Linked DNA regions of Schizosaccharomyces pombe. The gene in region 4 interacts genetically with the main gene of each other region. Each region holds a gene or a part of one and is shown on either strand. Other genes may lie near its edges.

Region 1 (4,636 bases), on a different chromosome or scaffold from region 4:
GTTCAAGTAAAGATGCAGCTGCCTTAGCCGCCAAATTATTCGGTGGTATGGCTCCTGCTCATCCTGTTTCAACACCTCCTGTAAGACCTCAATCGGCGGCACCACCTCAAATGTCTGCTCCAACACCACCACCTCCTCCTATGTCAGTACCACCACCTCCATCTGCACCGCCAATGCCTGCCGGTCCACCGTCTGCTCCACCACCACCTCTTCCTGCTTCATCGGCTCCTTCTGTTCCCAATCCAGGAGATCGTAGTGCTTTACTTCAACAAATTCATACTGGCACTCGGTTGAAAAAAACGGTTACGACGGATAAAAGCAAGCCCATAGCAGGACGAGTTTTAGACGCTTCTGACGGCAATTCATCCGCTTGGTATGGGAATTTGTCTTAGTGGCTTAACTTTTGTTTGTACTCATATCAAACGTTGAGTTTTTGTAGTGTTTCTAATTTTTATGCGCTCTTTATGAATGATATATTTTCTCATTCTGCAGCTATCAATTATCTCTTTAAATTGGCTTGTTTATACTTTATTTACCAATAAAATGTTTATGTTTAAATCTCTAGAGTGCATTAAGACAATATGAATTTAGAAACTTTCTTGAGTCAAATAATACTCGGACATTCACAAAACTATTAAGAACGCTATATTACTTATATACAGTAGTATGTAACGCAAATGCAATTCCATTTAAAAGGACTAATGTAAATATAAATTTCCCCATACAGTACCAATCGAAACGCAAATACACGTCCAGGAACACATAATTGCGGCAACAAGATCATGATTTTAATCAAGTAACATCCGATTTCGAAGAAGGCCCCAATTTTTTTATGACAAAAGGTAGCGTAAAGCCCTTAATCTTCAACGGGTTCTATCTCTTCAGAGATTACTTCCTCAACCGTTTCCTGAATTATTTCTTCTTCTTCAGCAGGAACAGTGATAGCAGGTTGGCCAGTGATTGCACGTTCTTCCGCAACCCGAGCAATAACCTCATCCCTATATTTCTGCCACTCACTAATGAGCTGTCTTCTACGGGCTGCCAATTCACGATTGGCGGAACTCTGTTCGGCGATATCCTCTTCATCAAACAAACGATTATAATCCTTAAGTTTCTTTCTAATTTTCTTCATGTCTTCCTTTGTCAATGGAGAAGGAGGTCTCGGACGCCAGATAAACTGCTTAAATTCTCCAATCATTTCTTCACGAAGAAGTGTGCCCCTAAAATCGCAAAGTCTGTAACCGTTCTCAAGCTTATGCCTCCAAATAGTACTGCTAGTAGTAACATATCGACCACTAGGATCCCACTCCAGCTCAGTCATACCAAAGTGCTCGGCAGAACCTATTTGCTGAACATTGGCAAGAGCATCCGGTTCTTTCTTTTCGGTATCAAAATCTAAGTCGTAAAACTCCAAATCATATTGAGTAGAGGAACCAAGGGTTGCAGCAACCATAAATCTACCCTTAGGCGCCATAAAAAGTGAATTGCATGTTTTCTTATCAAAAGTAATGATATGACGGAAAGTACTAGGGGTGTTCTTTTTCTGCTCAAAACCATAAAACGATAAATTAGTTTTTACATTTGTAGAATTTAAAACTTGATCATTAGCTGAAATTATGGCAAAACGATCACTCTTAGGTTCCCAGGCAAAATTGAGAACAACATCCTTAAGATCCACTACTTCAACGGGAATATTTTTCTCACGAATTCGGAATATTTCAAGGTTAGAGAATGTTGATTTCTTAGTTTTTGTGTGACGATCAACCTTAACACATAAATAATCACCATTAGACTGCCAGTACAACTTACAGTCGGAAACATTGAAAAGATTTTTCGTACGGATAGTTGATTTTGAAGGAATACTAATTAAGGCAACGCGAGCAGGTTGATTGGTAATTTCAGGGGTCCAGTAAGCTAAAAGCTGCTCCTTGGAATCACGTCCGAGAGCATCTGAAACTGGGCACCATTCAAAATTTTGCACACCGTCGATCTTGATAGTTTTCTTGTCAACCAAAGCAAGGGAGGGTGTCTCATAAACAGAAATCGACTGACCAACAGTAACGCGAGCAAGGTATTTATCATCGGCAGACCACTTGAAAATAGGCCAAATAACTTTTTTGCCATCCTTTGAACCTTCTGGTTGAGGAGGAATCTTAAAAGAACGAAGAATACGACCAGAGGCAATATCCCAAACGAAGCAATGTTTTCCTTCATCATCATCAGTGAAAGGCATTGTTTCACGAGCCGGATGTCCGATGGGAGGAAGTCGAACAGGCTCATAGGACCATGAAACAAGATACTTCTCGTTAGGGCTGAAGTCGACAAATTTTACGTAGGGGTGCAAGAAACGAGCACACATTCCCCAAGATTCCCCACCCCATAATTGAATACCACGAAGATGAAGTGATACGAGGTAAGTGCCCATGGGAGACCATTGCACGTAGGTCTCGGTCCAGTTTTCACGATCCACAATCTGTTCAGGGACGTCGCTCTTACGGTTCCAGTTAACAGATACACGGTTACCGTAATAGCTGATAAATTGATCACGACCATAGTAATCAGTTAACCAGCTACGCAAATGTTCGCGCTCCTTAAATTCACGTTCTTCGAAACTAAATTCATCAGGAGTGCTAAAAGCTTTTTCGAGTTGATTCAACTTACGAACAACGAAAGTATGGTTTTTTAAAATTTGCTTTCCATCCAACTCTTGAACGCAAAGATCGGCGCCATCAACATTTTCAAAATCGGCGAAAACTAGTCCAAGAGACATCTTTTTTCCATTTTTTTCCTCAAATGGCATATAAAATCCATTTTCCTTAACCTTTCCAATTTTAGCAAGGACTTTTGAGCTCAAAAAACGGAAGAAATCTTGCTGCTTAGCTTCTTCGACAACTGGAGCACCTTCGATTACTACAACCGTGTCATATCCAACAGGTTTAGTTACATTAAGCTTAACTTCCAGTTCAGAAACATCGATTTCCTCGTCCTTTACGACGATTTGATCCTTAATTTCCTCAATTAGGATTTCCGACATTTCTGGTGTAGTGCCGTTGTCTCTAGTCAAGTTTCTTCACCCAGTGACTGGGGGGACATCGAAGAGTAACTTTAGAGAAATTTAAAAAAAATTGAAAGTAATGAAAAGTAGAATTTAAAAAACATGGTATCATTTAAAATAAACTAATAAAGTTGATTCTGTTTTATATTTCTTCTTTTTTAGATTTTAACTCATTCTACCGATTTTGACTATTATCATTACTGACAACAGTTTATCTGCCAAGTTCGTTCATTTTGTATTGATTTTTAGTATTAGCACAATTGTTGGATTTTTCATAAAAGTTCTTTTTTCTCTTTTTATACTGTTGATTTGTACTGCAAAACATTGGAATGAGACATTCCAAGTGTTACCGTGTCTGAGTCCTCGTTCTTGTTTACAACAATTCAACAACATACTCAGGAGCGACAATTGTCCAATTTATTCATTCTTTTTACCCCTAAAAACAGACGTTTACGATCTTTTCCTATTTTAAATTTACCCCTTTTTTTTATATTGTGGTTTATTGAACTTTACAACAGAATTGCAATTTAAATTAACAACCTTGTCGCTTTCTTTGTAACAATCCTTACTCATAAAACCGAATGGCCCCTAGAGTTGCACCTGGTGGCTCACAACAATTTCTAGGAAAGCAGGGGTTGAAAGCTAAAAACCCGGTTTCTACTCCAAATTCACATTTCCGCTCTGCGAGCAATCCTAGGAAACGACGTGAGCCTCCTACTATTGACACTGGGTACCCAGATCGCTCCGACACTAATTCTCCGACAGATCATGCACTTCATGATGAGAACGAAACCAATATTAACGTAGTCGTCCGTGTTCGTGGTCGTACAGACCAAGAAGTACGCGACAATAGTAGCCTTGCTGTATCGACTTCGGGCGCTATGGGTGCTGAATTGGCCATCCAGTCGGATCCTTCATCCATGTTGGTCACGAAGACGTATGCCTTTGATAAAGTCTTTGGTCCTGAAGCTGACCAGTTAATGCTATTCGAAAATTCGGTAGCGCCCATGCTGGAGCAAGTATTGAACGGCTATAATTGTACTATATTTGCGTACGGACAAACTGGAACCGGTAAAACATATACTATGTCTGGTGATCTTAGCGATTCCGATGGAATTTTGTCTGAAGGAGCAGGCCTTATTCCTCGTGCCCTTTATCAATTATTTTCCTCCTTGGACAACAGTAATCAAGAATATGCTGTCAAATGCTCCTATTATGAACTTTACAACGAGGAAATTCGCGATCTTTTGGTTTCCGAAGAATTGCGAAAGCCAGCTCGTGTTTTTGAAGATACTTCGCGGAGAGGGAACGTTGTTATTACTGGTATTGAAGAAAGTTATATAAAAAATGCTGGCGATGGGTTGCGATTGTTACGTGAAGGCTCTCACCGGCGTCAAGTTGCTGCTACAAAGTGTAACGATCTTTCATCTCGTAGTCATTCAATCTTCACGATAACTCTGCATAGAAAGGTATCTTCGGGAATGACAGATGAAACTAATTCACTTACCATAAATAATAACTCTGATGACTTGCTGCGCGCCAGCAAACTTCATATGGTTGATTTGGCTGGAAGCGAGAACA
Region 2 (8,051 bases), on a different chromosome or scaffold from region 4:
CTATAACTTTCCCCTTTTTCATGGAAGGAAAACATTGTGCGAACTTTTCCAAAGGAATGTGAGCTATAGTTTCTGACAAAGTTCTCGATAAAAAGGCATCCAGCTGCTCCTTTCGACTAGTCATATAAAGTAATCCCAAATAATTTATAGTAATTTAAGCCTGAATTAGCGACAAAGATGAACTTGCGAAGCAATGAAAATACGTTTGAATAACAGCAACGTTACTATTTAGATTTTTTGTGTAAATCTATCTTAAATAAAAGAAATTATGAACGTATTACTGTAATTCAATTGTCTTTAATTCACTCCTAAATGGCATGGGTCCGAAAATATATATAAAATTGGTTCAGAATTAGCTTTTCCTAGTTGTTCTCAGATTTTTAAGTAAATTCACGTTTGTCGTGTGGTCCGGGAGAAATGCTTTGTTTACATTGAACATAGCGTAATGCATTGCAGTTTCTAATAATTTCTTATAAGCGAGGGCTAACTACTTTTATATTGGGGAACTTCTGACAGCTGAAATCCTGCTGTTTGCCTTTGCGTGCATTCGCTCACTTGATGGATATTTTTCATAAAAGTTACAATGTGATTCTATCACCTCCCAAAGTTCAGCAGGCGGATGAAACGATATCGAAGCTCTGTGATCGGTTGGAACATGCTACGCTTTTTGAAGATCGAAAAGCTGCTGCTCTCGGAATTAAGAGCTTTGCGAGAGAGTTTAAGGAGGTATGATTTTTTTAAATACTAGTTTGAGGTTGCTTTTTTATTTAATTTTGTTCGATTGGGACTAACAAATTTAGCTCGTGGCTGCTCATGGCTTAAAAGGCATAATTCAATCTTTACACAGAGACTATGATGATCCTGAACTTTTAAAAGTTACTTTAGAAACATGCTTAATTTTGACGCGACACGATGACGACTCAAGAGCTTCAGATACTGGGTTGTGGATAGCAGATCAGTTTATCCTGAACCAAGACAATATTCAATGTCTTTTGCAAAGCATATCCCACAAAGATTTCTATGTTCGTCTATATTCTGTTGAATTGTTCTCTGCTATTTTATCATGCCGGCCCACTGAATTGAAAGATTGTCTTCAAACATTTCCTTCTGCTATCTCCAGTATAATGGTTCCACTTCGAGACTCCATTGAGCCAGTTCGAAATGCAGATCTTTATTTTTTGTCAGAATTGGTGAAGGACTGCACAAGCATCCAGAAGTTGGTGGTATTTGAAAACGCTTTTGAGACATTATTTTCATTGCTAGAAAATGAAGGTGGTGTCGATGGTGGTATAATAGCACTAGAAGCCTTGAAATTTCTGAACGTTCTACTTAAAGATAACATTTCTAACCAAAATTATTTCCGTGAGTCCAACCACATTCCTTCTTTACTTAAGCTTTTGTCCGTTGACACTTTTGTTGATGGAACTTGGGACACTTCTCGTGTACAGTGTGTTATAGAAGCCTTATATGCTCTTCAATCATTAGTACCAATTGGCTTATCTTCTAGTATTGCTAATCAAAATGCTGTTGTCTCCAATCACGGCATTGATGTTTTACTCACACTTGCTACTCACCCTGATTTATTATTCTTTGACGTTCAAAAAATTAGCTGGATAACTTTAGCGCACGTCGTATATTCTAATGCTCGAGCTCAAAATAGTTTTGTCGACTCTACTTTTTTTGATATAAAAAATACCGATGTTTTGACGTGTTTGTTTGATTATCTCTTTCTTTCTTCTATTTCACCTTCACATCGCTATTCCGTGGCTTTTTTCCTAAGGTCATTAACCTCCGAAAATGATGAGCTTTCATCGAAGTTTTTAAAGCAAATTATTCATGCATACACCCATAAACAAGATAATCGGCTCAATATAATTCAAGGATATTTGGATTTAGTACATTTGTCCGATCAAGATCAGTATGATAATTGGTTCACTAGCACAATCCTTACCTACCTTGTTATTGATAATGACCAGAGAAAATATCTTTTGTGCTCGATTCCTTTGTTCCAAGATATGGACAATGACGAGGATTCCGAAAGTGAAGACAAAGTCACCTTTATTCAATGCGTATCTACCAAGTTAATAGCTACTTTAAGACATGAGAACGCGCTTCAAAATTGTGTTGGTTATCTAACACTATTAATCGCTCTGGTTTATGGTAATCCTGATAGTGTCAAAGACTTTTTGTCGGAAAGTAGCATTTTGCAAACATTTTTGACGGCGCTAATGGATGAATCGTCTTCAGCAAATTCCGTTATTCAAGGCATGATAGCTGTATTCTTATCATTGGTTTACTATTATTGTCCAATAGAGTCTCCGGTATCTAAATCTGATGTCTACAATGCAATCACTTCTGCTGTCAAGCGCGACGTGTTCATTAATAGGCTACAACGGCTTCGCAGGATGAACTTATACGAGATCACGTTCCTGTCAATGAAGCAGAAGATGGTAATTGCAATGACATCCTCTTTGACACTACATTTGTGAATTTCTTTAAGGATAATTTTTACCGCCTTAAGCACGCTATAGACGACGCCGCTGACGCATTCAATACTAAAATTGGTGAAATCAATACATTGGATGCGTTTGACGAAGCACAAAAGCAATTGAAAAGTTTGAGGGAAGAGATTGATAACACTAAAGAAGCATTAGACCTTTCTGTCAAAGAAAGATCTATTCAAGAAGAGAAGTTGAATGAAAGTCTCAAGACTAGCAAAACAAATCTAGAAGAACAAACACAACTGGCAGAAAAATACCATGAAGAGTTATTAGATAATCAGCAAAAATTATATGATTTGAGAATTGAACTAGATTATACGAAGTCGAATTGTAAACAAATGGAGGAGGAAATGCAAGTTTTGAGAGAAGGTCACGAATCCGAAATCAAAGATTTCATCGAGGAACATTCAAAACTTACCAAACAGTTGGATGATATAAAAAACCAGTTTGGAATAATCAGCTCCAAAAATAGGGATTTGTTATCTGAGTTAGAAAAGTCGAAGTCACTGAATAATTCTCTGGCTGCATTAGAATCCAAAAACAAAAAGCTAGAAAATGACCTTAATTTGCTTACTGAAAAGCTCAATAAGAAGAATGCCGATACAGAGTCCTTCAAAAATACAATTCGTGAAGCTGAATTGTCCAAGAAAGCACTGAATGATAATCTTGGTAACAAAGAAAACATAATTTCGGATTTGAAGAATAAACTTAGCGAGGAATCTACACGTTTGCAAGAGCTGCAATCGCAGTTGAATCAAGACAAAAACCAAATTGAAACCTTGAACGAGAGAATATCTGCTGCTGCTGATGAATTGAGTTCAATGGAATCTATCAATAAAAATCAAGCTAATGAGTTAAAATTAGCAAAGCAGAAGTGCAGCAATTTACAGGAGAAAATTAATTTTGGTAACAAACTTGCCAAAGAACATACTGAAAAAATTTCTTCACTGGAAAAAGATTTGGAGGCAGCGACGAAAACAGCTTCAACTTTAAGCAAAGAACTAAAAACGGTTAAAAGTGAAAACGATTCTCTTAAGAGCGTATCAAATGATGACCAGAATAAAGAAAAAAGCGTTAATAACGAGAAGTTTAAAGAAGTTTCTCAAGCATTAGCCGAAGCCAATGAGAAGTTAAATGCGCGTGACGAAGAGATTGAGAGGTTAAAGGTTGACATTATTGGCTTGCAAAACGCGTCGTTAAACATGCAATCATTGAAGGACAGTGACAACCGAACAATTTCAGATTTAGAGAGTAAAAATAAAGAGTTAGAGAAAAAACTCAAGGAAGCTGATGAATATTGGTTGCTGATAGTTGAAGAATTAGAGTCGAAGAGAACTAAAGACAAGGAATTGCTTAGACAATGCGGTCAAGCTGTTTCCGAGGATGAACAAAGCGAAGAGGAGTAATTAATTAAAATATCATTCAAAAATATATATAATAAAAATTTTTTATCAGATTTTTAAACATTTTCAGACCAGGATTTTGCTAACATCCAAAAATGCTCAGCTCCTCCTTGTTCTTCTAAGTAACTCTTTGCGTCGTTTTCAGATGGACAACTTCTAAACGACCAGTAACGAAAAGCTCGCCTACCAATTTCTCCTTCCCATACTAAATTGCATGTGTTTTCTGTATAATTTAATTCCCGTCCTTCAGTATCCACTAATTTATTTCCTTGTGCTATAATGGAATTTCTTGAAGTATCAGTCCAGTCGATTCTTTCAAGCATTAGTCTTTTTAATTTTTTGATAGCTTTTTGTCCAGCTTCAAAAATTACTAAATTAAAATTCGCATTCAAGATACACACACCGGTAGCTCCCCATTGTTTCGCATTAAGGTCAATTTTCAAACGATGAGGCCTATGAGCAAGGTATTTAATACTAAATAAGTTAGTACAGTAAATTAGCCAAAATACATATTTACACAAAACATAAACAGAGATGCAATAGTTGTAGATACATACCGAAATACCAAACAACGTAGACCGGCAGCTGAATCCTCATCTTTCTTACGGAATGCCTTCTCTTTTCGCTCCTCCGGAGTTAATTTCCGTTCCTCATTCTCTCGCTCATGTCGAAGACGTCTTTCTTCAACCTGCTTTCGAACTTCTGCTTCTATTTTAGTAGGGTCTTTTATAGCATCATCTCCTAAAACGTGCATTAAATTAGAAAGCTTGACTTTCGGTGGCTCTGGAGGTTCAATTCCAAGTAACTGACGGTCTTGTTTTTCCTTTCGAGCTTCAGCCCGAGTCTGTCTTCTTATTTTCTTTTGCTCCTAAAAAATAATCAGCAATTAATCAACTTTCAAATAATTTACCTTTTTAGTTAAGAAGACGGAATGAGATGACGGTTGGTTTTTTGCATAAGGAGGGAGAACAGGTATAGGATGTTGAATAGCTGAGTTGATAATTGATTGTGGACCATCAATTAGCCAGTTATTTTCATCACCATAGTCATTATAATCCTTTATAAAGGGTAAGTCCCACCATTCAATGTTGGGAATTGTATCTCTTCCAATAGACTTGCTCGTAATGTCAAGTTCATCTTCAATCCCTGCCTTATGCGAGTGTAAAGCTATTCTTTTTTTGAGATCCTCCAATCTGGCCTGTCGACGAGCTTGATTAGCTTCTTCTATAAACTTGCCAGATTCGTTTAAATGCAAATTCCTTGAACCCCTAGTTTTCCGTGATTCCTTCGTTCGAGGATCATAAAATGGTGAATCCTCTAATCTAGGAGTAGGGGCTGTATCAAGAAAAGGATTTTGTTCTGTAATAGCAGGTGGTTTCAATAGTTGGTGCTGCGATAAAGAAACACCCTTTGTCGAAAAAGAAGCAGTTCGTTTACGATTTTCAGGTGTTAAAATTGTGTTTTGAATGTTACCATCTAAAAGCACTGGATGGATTCCAACTTTTAATCCCCCTTTGGCACCATTACTATCATCTCTGAACAAGCCTTCAGATTTGGGTATATTGGCATTCTACAAACGATTAGCAACTGCAAATAACAAAAATAAAAAAACTTACAAATCTCTTGGCTGTCTTTTCCTTAAGCTCTGATATACGATTTTGTATCGTTTCCATTCCAGCATTATTCCCATTTTCAGAGCGTTTTTCCCAAGGCACTTGAGCTTGTTGTGCAAGACGCTGCTCTAATTGTAAACGTCTTCTTTTAATTTCTTCCATCTATATTGAATTAGATATTCGTCCATTAGTTTTATATTTTTGAAACATACAGCGTTAGGCTTATTTTGAGAATTCGGCGAAGAACTTTCCCTCAATTGAGACGATTCTAAACGCCTCTTGTTACGATCCATCAGTTAATTGAAAGCAGTAGTTTAATTTGCAAAGCTGGGAATACGAATTTGTACAACGACTGTGCGTGTAAACTTTGAAAAACTCAGATTCGTGGTCTAAATATAAACTGTGAACTTTACATTAACGCTTAAATTCAAAAAAATGCATATAGTAAAAAAACTTGACAGTTTTTTGTGTCCTTCAATCTTTAACCTAGTTGGTCCATTCAAGGAGTGTGGTGGCACATACCGCCTAAGTATAGTTTGTTGCGATACTTGTATTCAAAAACTAAGCAGACATGTTAACAATGGAGTCTATTTCATTAAAAAAAATTAATATACTACGATATTGAGAGGAACTGCCCAGGTCTGAGCAAAGGATGGGAAGGTTAAAACTAGCAAATTGGTATTCTTTTCGCCATTGAATAATAAGTAAGAGAGTAGCTAAAAAAATGTACAATCCAATCCATCGTCAAAATTCCAAACCAATATCTCGCTACTATGAGTACATGCAATAATACGTCTGTGGTCAAACTGCAGACCGAACACACGAGAATTTCTACTATTATGCAATACACAGTGTTGCTCGCCAGTGTTGAAATTCCAAATTCGAACAGTGCCATCGTAACCGCCTGAAACAATTTTTTCATCATTAAATCGCACAGTGCGGATCAAATCTTCGTGACCTTGAAGCATACGAAGCAGTTTACCGGAACTTGCTTCAAATATCCTAATTGTAAGGTCCGAAGAGCCTGAAACAATAAATTTACCATTATATTGAGCACATGCTATTCCACGTTGATGAGCATGAATAATGCGAATGCAATGGCCAGTAGTTATGTCCCAAGTGCGTAGAGTGCGATCGCTGCTTGCTGTGACAATTAATCCAGTTTTCGAAGAATATTGTACAGAATTTACAGAAGCAAGATGACCACGCAAAACATGCATACAAGCTTCAGCAGGGGAGGTGGCATCTAACCTCCATACTCGAGCTGTGTGGTCCCTTGAAGAAGATATAATGTAATTTTCGGATACAACGACACCTAGCACATTATCTGTATGTCCGAAATAAACTTTTAATGGGCGTCGGTTTTGCCAATCCCATATAATAATTGTTGAATCAGAAGAACCAGAAACAAGAAGATTTCTTCGTCTACAAAAGTCCAAACACAGGACGCTTCCAGAATGGCCGTATAATTTATAAAGAATAAATCGAGAATTTACATCCCACACACTTACTGTTCGATCTTTAGACCCGCTGACCATGATTTCGTCATCATATTGAACACAATAAACACTATCCAATGTAGCACGAAAATCCTGGTCTGCAGGGAAGCGTATAGAGGGGTTATTGAATGTAGATACTAGAAATCTACCATGTCTCCAATTACTATCCAAATGGGCGTGTTCTTTGTATAGATAGGACCAGTTTAACAAGGGCCGGCCGTTGGAGTCGAAGATAAACTGTTGCGGTAGAAACATTGTACCATAGGGTCCTATGATATTTTGCTGCTTTAGAAAATTTTCGAATCTTGGTTGAGGAAACTTGTGTGTCCTTCTCCAAGCTTCAAATTCATTTAGCACATTTTCATTTACAAACCAACCCTTTTGCATATATAAAGCCTTCCAAATTCCAGGATCTTCCAATAGACGCTTCCAGCGCTTTGACATAAGCTTGCACTTACATAGATCAAGCTGATCTAAGTAACTAAACACCCTCAAACTAACCTCTTCAGGAAATACCTACATTAACGGATATTAGTTATATTATACAGGGAATTGAAAACTTCATACTTCTGTGAAATCTGTAAATAACAGAGAACGAACGTGATTGTAAACAGCAACTACCCCTTCTTTGGATAAGGAAGCCAACAGATCACGAATTAAGTCTTCTTTATATTAGTAAAATGAAAAGAGTACAAATTAAAAAAGAAGTAAAGCCGTGAGCTTCAAAAAAAACATACCAATTCTATTATTTTCATGAGACAGCGGATTTAGGCAAGGAACCGGACTTGAGGTACTGAAATCACTGCAAGATGTCAAATCTGACACCTTGCTAACCACATTTTTGCCATTGTCGTCCTGGTTCATTCCTAAAGTTTTCAAGATCCCAAGCTATTACATATGGTAGTCATACGACACGGGGCATATCTGTATCAAACTGAAATGGGCGTAGACCTTTGTTCAAGTCAGCAGGCCTTTATAATAAACTATCAATTCAATTCACAACCTTCCGATATGAGTTTCCTTCTACAAGTGAAA
Region 3 (4,888 bases), on a different chromosome or scaffold from region 4:
GTTTACACTCATCTATATAAATCTTTATTTAGTATGTTTTTTATTTTTTCTCCCTATTAGTTACAATTCTGTCTCTTTCCTTTAATGTTTGCTTCTTTATTATAAGGGGTTACTTGGAATGAGATGTCACATATATATACCCGTTAATTCCTTTCCCCTTTCATAACTGTTTGTTTTATAGACCCTAGATTCGATCCTCTACACTGTGAACAATACATCCAACTCGTACGTCGTTGTTGAAGCAACAGCGGCGATACTTGTGTTTTATTCTCATTATTTGTATTAATTGACTCTTTCTTTTTCTTTATTTGTTTTGTTAGAGGCTTGCTTTTGTCATTATTTCATTTACTCGGTATGTTAAATAGCATTTATGGACGTTGTTTGATGTATATTATATTGTTTTGTCATTGATGCCTATCGTTAGCAAATGAATATAACTTTAGTCAATCTAAAAACTTCGTATCGTAAGCTTCGTGTATAAAGTTATAGACTACTTAAATAAACCATGCAGCAAAAGTCCATTAAGTTTCGGTTCTATCATGACTCAAAATTATAAATGTATTATTATTCAAAATGTCATAAGAGATGCCAGGCATTCTTTGACCAGCACTATAAACTTTAAAATAAAATAAAATAATCACAAGATAAAGAAGAAACGTTTAACATCCAATAGCATAGTTCAATATTTTGTATGTATATATATGTTTGTGAATGACAGACAACAAAGTGATCTTTAGCATTTTCACCAATTCAGATGTACATTAATTACAGATCTCTTTGAAGAAGTAAACCTAAGTATTTAGCCAATGTAGTTAGTGTGTGAGAGACAAATTTCTTTAATCGGACTTGGGAAACGTCCATGAATGAGGATTCCATGGATCAAACAGCTGCTCTGGTACGTGATTATAAGCTTCTTCGCCTCGCGAATCATTAGAATTAAATATATCGTCTCGAAGAGCCAATAAATGCGGATGGTCCTTGCCCAGCTCCTTTAACAAAGAAGACGATCGCCTAATTGCCATTTCAACAAAGTCAAAACCTGCCTCATGCAACGTGATACAGTGCCGCACAAACGCATCCAAAAGTGAGAAAGCTCTAGCTCCGTATGTATTGTTTGTATGGAAATCTAAATGCAAGCGAATTAAAAGCGAAACAAGTGTTGAAAAATGGAATCCTGCGTAAGGCCAGAAAAAGTCTCCCGAAGAGTTGGCTGTGATTTGTACAAAATTCGAAACAGATTTTTCTACGCAAACGAATAAGTCATCTGCAGACTGAAAATCGGGTAAGTTGAACCTCAATGCCGTCTTCCACAACAATATTTCAACAGCATCAAACTGGATTTTTAATGAGGCTGAATAAAACAATTAGTAAAGTGTAAAGAGGAAAAAAAAACTTACCAACTCCGAGCGCAGGCTCTGTAAATTCTACAGGACGGATACTGTTTAATCTGGTAAAAAAGCCAATGATCTGGTAACTAATAGAACGATTGTTTTTTGAATGACGGGTTAATGCACGGACAGTAAATAAGTCTTGTAATATATCCTGTAAAAGAGAACTAAGCTCTATCATTTTAAGAAATGTTTTAAAGGAATGTGACGATGTGATTTCCAGAGGCAATGATTCATCAGATTCTATTTTTGGGACGACAAAATCATCTTCATGAATGTTCGTAGCTAACCCAAAATACATTGAATACCATTTATCAGCAATAAAAATAGCCCACCAAATGCGTTTACGGATGGTTTTCTCTTCATTGGGTATCTTCCATTCCGTGCAATCATGATTAAAACCCAACAACTGCGAAAGGACAGTCGTACGGGAAAGGATACTGGAAAGACTGTACATATTATGTAAAGGACGACTAATTAAATACAAGAGAGCAGCTTGTATCGTGCTAAGTCGTGGTTGTGTAAAATGAAAATTCAACCCTTCCTCGACAATGGTCCACATTTTCCGTTGATCTAGTGGTGGCGCTCCAAACGATCGAGAATCAGAAGGCCAGTAGGTAAGAGCTACGGAATAAAGTGCGGCAAGTAAAATAGACGGTACATTTCGAGAACCGTTTTTATATGATAATAAAAACCTAGGTCCATGAAGAATAGGATAAGAAGGATGCACATGACTAAAGTACAAATTAACTAAAGTGCGGCCAGTTGCCTCATCAATGTATGTTGATAATAGATCGTGCAAAGCATGATCATATCGAGAAAAATCACTATGACGGTCATTCTCATACGCAGGATCCAGGATATACATTACAGGTGATTTGGAGCTAGTAGAAACGTACTTAACAGTCATATTATCGAAAGAGCAAACACCGTTTTCAAACGAAAAATACTCACGAATAAGATCGATGTCTGAATCACAGGTTGGCCCCAACACATAAGGATAGTTCAAAGAATCGTCAAGTCCAAGTTTGTCAAATTTATCATCTGAAGTATGATACATTTCAGTAATGCCTGCTAGATTTAATGGAACTTGACGACCATCAGGTCCACGAGCATCTGACCCTTGCGTAGGTGAAATCACTTTTCCTCTTACAGCATCCAAATTATTGCCTAAGGCATTGTACTTTGGATCACGATCGTCGTTAGTCGTTGTTGTTGCTTCTGATGGTGTGTCATCTGAAACAGAATCCTGTTGCTTTTTTTGTTTGTTGCGCTTTATAGGAGGAAGATGGTAGGTGCATGGAATTTTCAACTGCGTGCATAATAAGCAGGGATTTCCAATTGACTCTACCACACACCTGCTTTTCCGCAATCGACAATTGTCACAAGGTCTAGTTTTCCTTGAGCGATAAGGCCGTTCTGTGCCATTGTTTGAAGGCGTTAAAATCAAATTAGACATTAATAATAATAGGAAACAGGCCAATTATATCGGTCTCTTTTTCTTTTCTTCAATCAAGCTTATAAGGGGTTTATATGGCCTCTACCTGATTTTGTGTAAAATGGGAATAATAGCAAATGAATGCTTAAAGCCAAATGAAACCTTCGAGCAAACTAACGTATAACAACCCACTCAAAAACACACATATGGTTAAGAAGATATCAAAAGATGGTACCGGGTGAATACCAAGGGATAGCAAATAAATGCCAAAATGCGAATGAGAATACTTAACTTCTATAACTCGATGATAATTGCAAGAACATACGACTAATTAAATGCGACTTATAAGCAAATAAAATTCAATTTCAAAACTGACAATTGAGACTGTTTAAACGCAGAATAGTACAATGATGGATAAGGCTAAGTCCAAATATAGTACAAGTTTATCTTTGATATGGAACTTCTATAATGATGTACTAAGTAGAGCGCCGCAACACTACGCAACTCATTATTCAAAAAAGTACAAACAAATACGTGAAGCTAAAGAAGTTTAGAGACCAAGAAGTAAATGTTTTCCATTTCTTTCGTACAATTGTTTAGGAAAAAAAAAGAATAAAATTATTTATGCTTAAACTTTTTAGTGGAAGTGATAATCGCAATTTTAGTCATACTCACGAGCCCTAATTTTGCGATCACTTGTATCATATAAGATGATAATTTTCGTTCAAAAATTTATATATTAGCTGCATATGATAAGCGAAGCTATGTTAAGAATTGAGTTCTCGTTTAAACATTTTTGCTAATCTTCACTGAATAAAGTGTGGATGAAACGTATAAAGGTGAATCTAGCAATAGTAGTGATTGTTGGAAAATATTCTTTCAATACGCGAAACAAAATTCTTAACAAAGAGGTTAGCTGCGATAAAATTGACAGCATAAGAATTCCTCGTAACAAACAACAAAACAAAAGAAAGAAGAAAAAAAATGAGAATATAACATACGCATAAAAGTATCCATAAAGCCTATGTTCCTCATCATAGATGGCAAGTGCAAAATGTTTGCGCCGCGTCGAAGGTTTCATCACTCACAGTGTATTACTTCTACGCATAAGAGTATCGCTTGAAAAAAATTCATCACTTGGCAGGCTCTTTCTCGCTACTAAAAGCCATCGTTTGGTAACAAAGCTTAATTTGGTCGGTGTTTTGGACACGGGGAATAGTTTTAGCAATTTCATCAAGTTCAGCATGCACTTTCTCCTTCTCTTCTTCCGGAAGCTTATAAATAAAGGAGAACGAATTCATTAAAGTATGTAATTCCTCGACTGTAAGACACCTCGAGAAAGGAAATGCACAGTACCTAAGTTTACCAAATCCATGACCAGGAAATAGTTCGGCCCATTTCCAACTAACAAAGCTAGGTGCGTCCTTTCGGTACCTCCCCAAAATTTTACTAACCTTTTCAATCCAAGGCACAGTGTCATCGCGAGTGTTCCAAACAAGACCCAATTTCCCATTAGGCTTTAAAACGCGGTAAATCTCCTTCATTGCCTCTTCATTTGCAAACCAGTGGAAGCATTGTGCACAAAGAACCAAATCAACACTTTCATCCTCAAGAGGAATAGCCATAGCTGAGCCTGCACGACAATCAACATTTGGGAATTTCTTTCTCAATACATCGAGCATCTCGGGGTATACGTCAACAGCAATAATTTCCTTAGGATGAGACGCGATGATCCTTGGTGTAAACTTGCCAGTTCCAGCACCCAGCTCTAAAATGATGGAAGTCTCATCAATTAAGAATTCATCAGTAATCCAGTCGGTTATTCCTATAGGATATTCAGGCCTCGCAGCCTCATAGTCAGCAACATCAGTTTTAAATGTTTTCAAGTCAATTTGTTCAGCCATCTTTTTATACTTAACGATTGTTGTTCACTAGAGTAGAGGTGGTTAAAAACAATGATACGACCGGTTGATAATTTGAGCTTAAACGCTGCGGTATTGTGTTGTATTGTAGTGAATATACCACTAAGACTATTCTGGATTCAAATGGACAATTGGTTGAT
Region 4 (3,352 bases):
CAGAAAGGGATGTGATTTTTTTAATTCTGATTGAAGCTTCGATACGAGGCTTCGTAACATAATCCTTTTCGGTAGCAGGAGGGACTGAAGGTTGATCAGTAACGATGAAATACTCAAGGTTTTCAATACACTCGTTAATTGAAGACATAAACTCGGGAATTTCGAAAATAGCTTGACTACACTCATTGTTCTCAGACATTAAAACATGAGTTTCCGGTAAGTAAGGAGAGGAAGAAATGCGGGTAAAGCTTAAGTCGTAACGTATTTCACGAAGAATGCGCATACAGTCTTTATGAACAATGGCGAAAACAAAACGCTCAGCCTTCAAGTTCTGGTCTGCAAGAGTTAAATCGAATTGAAAACGGTCAGCAACAGGTAAAACAGAAGACATAACGTTTCCCAGGAGGATTTCAACGATTTGATTAAGAGAGTAGGCTAACAAATCTTGACGAGGAAAAAGCTGAAGTGTTGTATACACATTCTTCACGTTGAGACGTCCAGTAAGATAGGAGCTAAACTCGGTAGGAGAGTCATAAATGATTGGAGAACTGTTAGGACCTGGTCCATATTGTGCAAACTGTTGGCGAAAGCTAGACTGTAAGGAACCATACCAGCGAGAAGCGATTTTTTGGTTTTTCTTCTTTTGCGTGATAAAAGAAAAAACATAAAGGAAAAAACAAGCAAGAATAACAAATTCAAGACGGAAATCTCTCCAATCGACATGCTTGAACATTCCTGGATTCTCCAACTCGGGATTCATATTGTAATCCTCTTCGTATTCATCTTCCTCATCAGCCAGTACTCCTTTAGCTAGTGCAAAAACTAGAAACAAAAGCTTTTTATTAATCATGGTTCCTCCGCTTGTAAATTTACTGACTTTCGTGAAAGAAAAAAGGGCACTGGTTGTACGAAGTGAGATTGAACGTGGTGAAATAAGTAACGAACGAGACAAGCCGGTTCCTAGAGTGGGAAGATTAACTAGTGTATATAGATAGTTTAAAATAAGTCGGTAACCAGAACATGTCGCGATGGTGTAGTTGGGAGCATGACAGACTGAAGATCTGTTGGTCATCGGTTCGATCCCGGTTCGTGACACTTTTTTTGACGTGGAGAAAACACTTTGTACTAGTTATATCCAACATAATTTTGAGGTTTTTTCTTTTTACTTATTTTTATTTTTCTAGTTGCTATATGTGAAGCAAAATTAGATAGCTAACGGATGCTCAAGAATATTGTACTGGCACTTCAGCTTGTTATTGCAAAAGTTACAAAAACAGTCTGCAAAGACAAACAAGCATAGAAGCTCAGTTGGTCTAAATGTATATTACTAGATCGGTTCTGTAATTATTGGTGTTTTATTAGCAATGAATGGTGCTTTCAACTGAATATATCCGACAGAGAAACTATATGGCGTTACAATTTTCAAAGGTAGTAGTTTATCTATTTGGTAAATGATAGTTGTACGAACTGCTACGCATTTACTCAAAATCTTAGTTACATTCATGCGTTCTATATAAAAGAAAGTCATTTTGTACTTGCTTGTTTACGTATACGATCGGTTAATCTCAACAAAGCAAATAAAAGGAAGCTAGTCACCCTGTTGTACTTTATACCTAGGACATATTTTTTTTTTCAAACATGTAACATACCGTTACTGAAGAATGTCATAAGCTTAACGCTAGCTAAATTAAGCTTGTATCAAAGTTGCGAGGGATATTGAGATCTATCGTTATTAGATCATTATAGATAAAAAGATATAAATGAGAAATCCTCCATACCTCAACAATAATTGTTTATTGGTAAAAAAATATTATTCCTATCCACTTTTTGGTTAAGCAGAAAATCTGGCAGAATTTTGTACATGCCGCTTTGCCTATCATTGGCTGCTAAATAAATTCCTTGAGCTCGTTTGTTCGATTATTTACTACTACCACACGATACCCTAACGTGAGATTTTCTCTACTAGCGATATCAAAACTTTCGCAAACTTTTTCCAACTCCCCTCAACACACGATTTTTATTATATAGATTTATTTATCAAGATGTCGGTGAAATACTTTGAACCTGAGGAGATTGTGGAGCACAATAATTCCAAAGACATGTACATGGTCATTAATGGAAAAGTTTACGACGTTAGTAACTTTGCTGATGATCATCCTGGAGGCTTAGATATAATGTTGGACTATGCAGGTAAATAATTCGACAAAACTTTTGTAGAAGTAAACACCATATTATGTTGGAGACTGCTATGCTCAAAAGCGATAGTATACTTTTAATCGCTATCGTTTCATTCATCAGTTCTTCACTTGTGTGCCTTCTTGATTAAAACATTGTATACGGCTTTTTAAACATGTCCACTAACTATTTGTTTTAGGCCAGGACGCCACTAAGGCCTATCAGGACATTGGACACTCTATTGCTGCAGATGAGTTACTAGAAGAGATGTATATTGGTGATTTAAAACCCGGAACTGAGGAGAGACTCAAAGAATTAAAGAAACCTCGTTCATTTGATAATGATACGCCTCCGTAAGAAAATGATTTGTGTACGATGGTTGTTTCATGCTAACAGAACAGATTGCCTCTATTAATCGCATTAATTGTCCTGCCAGCCATAGCAGTAATTGTGTTTGTTAAGCTTAACAAATAAACTTCGAAGGCTTGCCTATTTATTTTCCTAATCTTTATACCTTCTTTTGTTTTTCGCGATGTTAGTATCACTCAATATTATTATGGATAGCAATTGTTTTCAAGGCTTCTAAAGAAACAAAATAAACGTTAACTTAGAAAAATATATTTCTTAAATGTCTTCCTTCAGTAAGAGAGCTCTTAAAAACAATGAGTTCAGCTCGTAACATGTAATTAACTCATGGAGATATTAAACAAACCAAAAAAGTATAACAAAAAGATTTAGCTAATAGTAAAGAGGGAAGTATGTAATCAGAAGTGGAATATAACTAATGGAAAAATTAGTTCTATTGGGCTTATGAAGGACTTCCAGTAATATTCGGTTGGACTTTAGATAAATTGATTACCATCTTTCCTTTGATTTCTTTATCACTCAGCTTAATGTTGTTAATATCATCAATCAAAACACCTAGTTTCCTTATTATAAACTCGGTTTCCTGCTCGGTAGGTTTAGCAACATCGTATTTTGGATCTAAATTCAATGAGTCGATTTGATCTAATACCTCCCTATCGCAATCATTATGTTAATATAGTTTCTACTGTATAAAAAGAATTTATCAAAAGCTTACTCATAAATGTTGTCCCGAGGGTCTCGCTGAGGTGCTTCGGTTCTCAATCGTAAAGAAAAGACGTCAATGAATTTATTTCTATTTTCAGTTAACAAA

The links.
Region 1: mutations in cyb502 (region 4) and tif302 together harm fitness more than expected from each alone (negative genetic interaction), as found in Schizosaccharomyces pombe (one large-scale study listed by BioGRID).
Region 2: mutations in cyb502 (region 4) and prp3 together harm fitness more than expected from each alone (negative genetic interaction), as found in Schizosaccharomyces pombe (one large-scale study listed by BioGRID).
Region 3: mutations in cyb502 (region 4) and SPOM_SPAC25B8.11 together harm fitness more than expected from each alone (negative genetic interaction), as found in Schizosaccharomyces pombe (one large-scale study listed by BioGRID).

What each region holds. Positions count from the first base shown.
Region 1 is NC_003424.3:4,308,977-4,313,612, reverse strand, and holds tif302 (translation initiation factor eIF3b (p84)), read right to left. Parts: upstream 3,053-4,636; 5' UTR 3,035-3,052; coding exon 857-3,034; 3' UTR 552-856; downstream 1-551. Other genes in the region: pan1 (actin cortical patch component protein PanI), read left to right, coding at 1-392; kinesin-5 family plus-end directed microtubule motor, bimC subfamily Cut7, read left to right, coding at 3,637-4,636.
Region 2 is NC_003424.3:4,401,846-4,409,896, reverse strand, and holds prp3 (U4/U5/U6 small nuclear ribonucleoprotein complex subunit Prp3), read right to left. Parts: upstream 6,019-8,051; 5' UTR 5,811-6,018; coding exon 5,730-5,810; exon of another isoform or gene 5,680-5,729; coding exon 5,521-5,679; exon of another isoform or gene 5,475-5,520; coding exon 4,815-5,474; intron 4,773-4,814; coding exon 4,462-4,772; intron 4,379-4,461; coding exon 3,961-4,378; 3' UTR 3,908-3,960; coding exon of another isoform or gene 801-3,907; 3' UTR 727-800; coding exon of another isoform or gene 559-726; 3' UTR 301-558; downstream 1-300. Other genes in the region: F-box/WD repeat protein Pof11, read right to left, coding at 6,234-7,532, 7,584-7,678, 7,754-7,880. UniProt on the Schizosaccharomyces pombe protein: Participates in pre-mRNA splicing and in nuclear mRNA export. May play a role in the assembly of the U4/U5/U6 tri-snRNP complex.
Region 3 is NC_003424.3:4,172,018-4,176,905, reverse strand, and holds SPOM_SPAC25B8.11 (transcription factor), read right to left. Parts: upstream 3,232-4,888; 5' UTR 2,848-3,231; coding exon 1,398-2,847; intron 1,352-1,397; coding exon 837-1,351; 3' UTR 528-836; downstream 1-527. Other genes in the region: SPOM_SPAC25B8.10 (trans-aconitate 3-methyltransferase), read right to left, coding at 3,960-4,730.
Region 4 is NC_003423.3:2,574,119-2,577,470, reverse strand, and holds cyb502 (cytochrome b5), read left to right. Parts: upstream 1-2,005; 5' UTR 2,006-2,042; coding exon 2,043-2,190; exon of another isoform or gene 2,191-2,374; coding exon 2,375-2,528; exon of another isoform or gene 2,529-2,576; coding exon 2,577-2,649; 3' UTR 2,650-2,808; downstream 2,809-3,352. Other genes in the region: SPOM_SPBC2G5.01 (Ca(2+) binding protein), read right to left, coding at 1-850; Ragulator-Rag complex subunit Lam1, read right to left, coding at 2,984-3,194, 3,257-3,334.